Bombyx mori: one gene and its partner. The protein of the gene in region 2 interacts with the protein of the main gene of each other region in a pairwise test. Links are inferred from orthologs where the notes say so. Each region holds a gene or a part of one and is shown on either strand. Other genes may lie near its edges. The genes, in order: WASH complex subunit 1 and exocyst complex component 8.

Region 1 (3,625 bases), on a different chromosome or scaffold from region 2:
TGGAGTGAGCCAAGTTTTGTAAATTGTACAAGCAAAGAACATGTGACACTAACTCTTATTTTAATGGGAATATTTATGATAATTGGTATTATGTATGGTTTTATTAAATGTTACAAGAAATACCGAAAAATGGAAGATATTAAACCAGTTTTACCAAGTGGACTAGGAGTCCCCGAAAAGGATATTTCGAAATATGCTATTGGTGGTTGGAATCCTACAAACAAGGATGAGAAACCATCTTCAGACGAAATGTTGCTATTACCAAATAGTAGAACCACTGTATCTTCAGAATTGAAACAGAAAGAAAACAATAACAGTGCTTCTAGTGATCACACTGATAGTACAGCTTTATCAGATACATCACATGGGCCTGTAGAAAGACAAATCTCCTCATCTGATGATGGATCTAATTCATCACTACATCTTGAAGTAGAACCTACGAGAACAGCTGACAGTAACATCGATGGCGAATCATGCAATTCCGAAACTGAAACATCACAAATACCGTCACCATTCTTTAATGATAATACTTTCAAGAAAAATCCATGTGGCTATGTGCAACAATCTGTAGTGAGTCCTAATACAGGATATGTTCAAAGTGTTCAAGCAGGCGTTACAAACCCACCACAACCCTCATCACTCAGTGCCAGCTCTAGTTATGTAATGGCAGCTCTGTCTCCACCTATATTTACGACACGTGTTGCTCAACCTTGCGTAACGAGTTCACAATCAGCAGGAGGCTATGTGCACCCTGAAGGTGCTCAAACTATATCAGCAATGAATTTCCCGAAATTGGGGCAGACAACGAACAAACTGTTTGGTCCTGAAAGCTTGCCAACAATGCAAACCTTGCCACCAGCGAAACACACTGCAGACAGCAGCTACATTCAACTGCAATCTCTAGATTCCTTGCCCAGACACAAACATCCTGCCCGAAGTACAGTGCCATTAAAGACGCCAGCGTCTACCGGCTACGTCCGCCAAGGTGACGCTGTTATTAATAAGCACCTGAATAATATGCTATCAGGTGTTCATTGTGGCGAAGAATCGGCTATTTTGGATCCTGCAATGTCGCCTGACGCGTACTGCAGATTTTCATGGAGTACCGATCCAGCCAATGACAACATTCATTCGTTACTCGCCGATTCGCCTAGATTAAATTCATCGAAAAACGGAGTCAATCATTAGTGATATATATATATATTTAATTTAGTAACCAAGATGTAAATAATTGACTTTAGGAGCTTTATAACGTGCTATAAAAATTGGACATAATATTATTTTACATTTGGGAATGAATGTGTCTAGTGATAATTCTTGTGCCTTATTAATTTATTTTAGGTGATCATAGGAAGCTTTATAGGTAAGAGTCATATGTTTAAAAACAGGAGAATTTAAAGCGGTTTTAACAGAATCTTATGGACTAATTGGTTTGTTACAGATCTTGATATAAAGTATTCGCTAAACAAAGATTAATTATGGAAGGTATTTACAAAATTAATCTTGTGCCAAGCGACTTGAGCACTGAAGAAGCCATCCTTCAGATTGCTGACACTATTGATAATCTCAATGGGATAGTGGAAGACGTGTTCTCTCGCTTAACGCGGCGAATCAAGCAGAATGTAGATAAAACCGCAAAATTGAATGAACGCATCGAAAACTCTAGGCTTAAAGTTGAAAAACTGACTGGAATGCAGAGAGCCATCAAAGTGTTCTCGAGTGCAAAGTACCCGTCGTCAATAACGCACGAGCATTATCGATCCGTCTTTGATTTGGAAGGCTATCAACATGTGCCTAAAAATGTTAAACTGAGTGCTAAAACTCGGGGGCCATCTGATGATAAAAGAATACAGGTAAGAACGCTTGTCTTTGTCGAAATAATGTTCGTTCAAAATTTCGAGTCATAATTGTTATTGTCATTAATTGATCTCGTAGGAGAAGCTACACTTCTATCATGTTAAAGTTGCGGAACCTAATTCACTCAAGCCCGATGAAGATTTTAGTTTGAACGCTGTTATTGATAACCTGGAAACCATCGGTGAACTTTTAGTATTTAACACCGATGAAAGCCCTTACTTCGGTGTTACCTCTAAAACACCAACCTACAAACCGGTCATCAAGAAATCGAATATTGAAAATAAGAGTCTAATAGAAGCGGCACCTTCGTCTATAATGAAGAAAGACGTCTTGAAGCGCGAAGTAGACGAATACATGTACGCACCTGGGATGGGAATGGTAAGTGAAAGTAGCAAATGTTATTCGGTTGATGGATGCTATGACAAATCGGAGCGTTTTATAACACTATAAAAATTAAACAGGTACCCGAAATGGAGATGCCGTTGGATTTACCGCATCTTCCAGGAATCGCTGAGGACATACAATATACTATCGCGACTGAAGGGTCTATAGCCCCGTCTGTCGTGACGTCACCGGTCACGCCGATCATCGCCATTCCTGAGGTGGAATTACCAGAGTTGCCCGATCTAAAGGAACTACCTGACGTGAAACCAGAGCCCGTGGCTATACCAGATATACCGGACGCTCCTCCGTCACCGGTTCCTGTTAGTGTGCAAGCGTTGCCACCACCGCCGCCCCCGCCACCGCCTCCGCCCCCGCCGCCGCCTATGAAGGAAGTAGAGCTCACACCATCAAAACGGTAAGATTTCTCATATTTGATTAATTTAATCTAGGACAAAAGAACACTTTTGCATACAAATTTCGAGTATTGATGAGGATAATCGTGTACATACTTACCAAACTTATTTTATTTGTTGCGCAACTTTAGGAAATGTTCGACCTCTTTCAAAGTTTTTGCATGATATTGCGGCCCTTCATAAAACTAAAAGCGGGGGCTACAGGACTCTCAGGTTGAGAAACAGTGTACAAGACAATTCTAAAGCAATAAAAACCGTGGAAGCGCAACGTTTTTTGCGTTATTTTACCGTTGATGCTAACAAACCGTGTTGTATTTTAACCTTTGACGGGCCACCGTAATTGTATTAATTACTTACATACACGCGCCATACAACGGATCGATCCATTGAAACTGTGTACACAGTAAACACGACAAAAACATTAAGATTAATTTGAATGTCCATATATTTATCTCTCTCTCTCCTTGACCTTTCGGTCATTTGTGTGAAATCTGATTGGTTATATCATTAATAACAATATTTCTAAAAACTACAAAATTTGACCATGTGTATTATTATAAATCCTGTGATTATTTTTATATAACTAATGAATGCCAATAAAGTTAAACAATCCCAGGTCCAATTTTCCAAGTAAGTAATCGGTTTGCAGTTGGGTTATATTACCTATTTAACGCGGCGGGCTTCGTTGTGTGAGTCTTTTTAAGTCAACCCTACATACGGCCATGAGCTTCTCAAGTTTGCCACTTCTTCTTAGCACTGTGCTCAAAGTCCTTTAGTACCCCAAAGATGGTAGCGTACAAAATAACCTTAGTACGATGAGCCAAGGAATGTTCCGTATTTTTTCTTCAGAATCGTATCTCGAAGGCGCTAATGCAGACCATGTCTGCTTTCTTAATGATCCATGTCTCACCGCCATACAGGAATATTAAGAACTTGAGAGGTTGTACATGCTTAGTACTTGGATCGTGAGA
Region 2 (3,933 bases):
CTCTCTATTATATTACAAATTTAAAGCTTCAGCATAATATAAATAATTTCATACATCTTATTTATAGACTATTGACTATTCTCATAAATATTCATTACTTGTGTATTTTGTGATGTTTTTGGATGGTGTAATACTGACACCATAGTTCTTTGCCAAAGCTACTAATTTCTCATTATCATAGCCAACTTCTTCTTTATAACATCTAAGCATTAAAGGCATCACTGTTTCTAAAATGAATTTGAAATTCTTCTTTGCATAACTAATATCGTTGACTGATGCGAGGACAAGCCATGAATTGAATATTGTATAAATGTATTCATCAAGGTTATCCATCATATCTTTGTTCACTAACTGGAGACCTATTTTCTGTATAGTGACAATAGACTTTGTAAACCATATGGTACTACTTGATAAATCTACCCATGTTTCATTAATTACATACTTAGCTAATATAAGGCCCAAAGTTTCCATTTGTTTCAGGAATTTATTGACACCTGCTTTGGTGTGCATATTCACTGGAGTCCATTTGTCTTCAGTGATTTTATTTTTCATAGAGTCAACAGTCTTCTCTTTATATTCTCTCAAAGCTTTTATTATTGGTGTTCTCAAACAACTGTTCAACTGGAATCTTAAATCTAAACCAAATTGACAAAACAATGTACATTGTTCCCTTAGACTCTCAACACAATCCTGAACGGAATCTAATGCACACTGAGGTGTGAACACTTGTTTTATAATCTGACTCATCAATATCCTAAGTTGCAGACTAGCCCAGACTATAAAAGCACTTATTTTATTTTTAGGAAATAGTGAAATAAACTCTGTTAAGGCATCACTCAATGAGCAAAAAAACACTTCACCCACTTGTTTGACATAAGTGTTAATTGACCCTTCCAGTTGCACCCTTTTCACATGAACTTTGACTGTGTAACTGCATATCGTCAAAAACAAGTCACAAGCCTGACTGGTCATATTAAACTTATTGAGTATCAGTACCGGTTGTCTAGTTGATTGGAGACCTCCTCGCAAACTCCAATTATGTGTTACATCTAAATCTTTCAATAATATTTCAATTAAACTCTTTTGCTTCTGTTCTATTTTTTTCAATATATCAACCCTTTGTGGATGGTTTTTAAAATCTTCAGTATTTAAAGCTTTTTGAGCTGAAACCATCAACTCATAGGTCTTTTGAAAATGTCTCTCCACAATCAAAACATCAAGCTCTTCAGTAACATCAGCCAACCACTCAGGCAATGGTGTAATTTGGGGTGATGGCATCTCTTCCACAGACAGACTCGGTGATTCAATAGATTCAGATTTTGATTTTTCTTGACTATCTTTTTTCTTCTGTTTAGAATTTTCTTTTTCAATATACAGTTTTTTTGCTATCTCAAATTTGTCTAGCCAATCTTTTTTTATCGCAAAACTATTGCATTGAAATACTCTGGTGTCTGGGAAGGCTAACACTTTAAATGCTTGTTTCACAGTTCCTAAATCTCTTACATTCACCACTGCTAAATTCTTTATTGGGTAACTCACTTGAAACTTATATCTCATTGGACCACGTCTGTTAGAAATCCAGGATGTTAACATAAGGCAGTCATTAAATAAATATACATGCATTCTTTGTAATGCAGTATTTTCTTCTGCATCTATTTCTAGCAAGTCACCTTCATGAAGCAGAGTTCGGTCTGGGACATCTAACAGATTCATGCATGATTCTACCTTTTCTGTAATGAGATTTAATTTATTTTTTCGTTCCTCTTCTGCCCTCTCAGCCTCGACGTCGTGATTATCAAGAGACTCGCGTGATAAACCGTTCTCGTTACCGAGGATTGAGGCGTGGGAGAGCACAGTCAGCACAGAACGCTGTTCGCTTAACAAATGCGATAGCTTGTACATTTCTGTTTCGAGGTGGGATATCTCCGTCGCAGTCTCGATAAACTGCATATAATTCTCGTAGACATTTTTCTTTAGGGCACTTGCGGTTTCTTCGGCTAAATTTTGTATTTTCTCCTTCTGTTGCTGTAGCTCCTCCCCTCCGACGCAGGATCTAGCGAGGTCTTTTACGTAACGTTCGGGGACGAAGTCTGGGACAGCAAACTTATCCATATCTATCTCGGACATCGTTGCACATGTATTTATTGTATACTTCTTTCGTATTTATCACAAAACACTGGCTCGCACATCATTCGATTCTATAGGTAGGTATCGAACGACAGGACGTTTTCTATCAAAACGATATGTCAAAAATGCGTTTTGTTATCTCAGCTTCTTTTAAAGTCAGTTTGTTGGCAACGCGCTGCCAACGTTGCTATCAAAACGTTTTCTCAAATTTTATGTACAGTAGACGCGCGAGCTTGTCCATCCTGAGGAATGCGGTAGTGCTGTGACCTAGTTAATTATGGTAATGTCGATAATAACTACCGATTTAGTCAACAGCTGTCAATTTGGTTTAATGTAACCAGGTCACTTCGCAAATTATAAAATAAATGCGATAAGTAATGACTTATTTCTTCCTAATAGAGAAAAATATTTTTTAAATTCCAATTCAACTACTATGAGATGAAAAGACAACCAACAGATCAGAGTCCGAATCAGTGTAGGTTTTTTTCTACCTGAACTTGTTGGAAGCGGAGTATTCGTGGTTTATTCACCATGAAATAACACAATAGCGTTAGCGTAAGTTTTTGGTATCGATAAGCGCGCGTCACAACTGTCAAAGACAACACTAGACGTCAAACAAACGCGGGGAGGCGGGGCGAGCTGCCCCCTGCGCGTCGCCTCCGGCCCCGATGTACATGAACTCGCGCGCATACTGTATAGTAATCGGCACGAGTTGTGAGCTTTCGACAAAAGATTTGGGGTCATCTGCCCATCGTACAATTAGAGTCAAAATAAATGGTCCACTTATGTATTTAATATATTTTTTTATAATTAAATTAACTTCGTTCAATTTGGGATTTAAAAAAATATTGTTATGTAATTATGTATTAGTATTTTTTATACTATTAATTTTTTTATTTTTTTTTTTTATTTATTGCTTAGATGGGTGGACGAGCTCACGGCCCACCTGGTGTCAAGTGGTTACTGGAGCCCATAGACATCTACAACGTAAATGCGCCACCCACCTTGAGATATAAGTTCTAAGGTCTCAAGTATAGTTACAACGGCTGCCCTACCCTTCAAACCGAAACGCATTACTGCTTCACGGCAGAAATAGGCAGGGTGGTGGTACCTACCCGCGCGGACTCACAAGAGGCCCTACCACCAGTAATAAAACTGGATCCAACTTATTAATGGATGTTATGAAAAGTAACATCTAGACTATTCTAGACGTAACACCTACCCACCCAAAAATTCAGCTAAGGGCCCACCTGGTGTTAAGTAGTGTTAAAGACATCACAATCTGAAACAACCTAGAGAAACATAAGTCTTAAGGTATCAAAGTCTGCTTTGTATTGTATAATGGCTGTCACACCCTTCAAACTGGAACACATGACACCTTCGAGGCAGGAATAGATTTTAATAATGGCCCTTACCCGTGCGAGCTAACCCTACATTCTGCCACCCATAAATCTACTGCGATGAGTGCTTTGCAGCAGAAATAGGCAGGGTAATGGGCTGGGTCATAAAACTTAAATAAATTATAATAAAAAAGGCATCCTGAGGGATTTCAATACCTGCTTGACGATGTCACTCGATGCGAGTACGCCGTATCTAATGCATTAGGCCCTCGAGTCATTTACTTGAAGCTATTCCAAAGGTACTTCTTACTTTTTATTTTTTTATTGCTTAGATGGGTGGACGAGCTCACAGCCCACCTGGTGTTAAGTGGTTACTGGAGCCCATAGACATCCACAACGTAAATGCGCCACCCACCTTGAGATACAAGTTCTAAGGTCTCAAGTATAGTTACAACGGCTGCCGCAC

What was found.
Region 1: the proteins of exocyst complex component 8 (region 2) and WASH complex subunit 1 interact in binary tests that used the Homo sapiens proteins (3 or more experiments, as listed by UniProt). The link is inferred for Bombyx mori from reciprocal best matches to the Homo sapiens genes EXOC8 and WASHC1.

The regions. Positions count from the first base shown.
Region 1 is NC_085123.1:3,001,198-3,004,822, reverse strand, and holds part of WASH complex subunit 1, read left to right. Parts: exon of another isoform or gene 1-1,363; intron 1,364-1,441; 5' UTR 1,442-1,478; coding exon 1,479-1,853; intron 1,854-1,935; coding exon 1,936-2,235; intron 2,236-2,318; coding exon 2,319-2,656; intron 2,657-3,625. UniProt on the Homo sapiens protein: Acts as a component of the WASH core complex that functions as a nucleation-promoting factor (NPF) at the surface of endosomes, where it recruits and activates the Arp2/3 complex to induce actin polymerization, playing a key role in the fission of tubules that serve as transport intermediates during endosome sorting.
Region 2 is NC_085122.1:6,420,004-6,423,936, forward strand, and holds the start of exocyst complex component 8, read right to left. Parts: upstream 2,387-3,933; 5' UTR 2,128-2,386; coding exon 82-2,127; 3' UTR 1-81. UniProt on the Homo sapiens protein: Component of the exocyst complex involved in the docking of exocytic vesicles with fusion sites on the plasma membrane.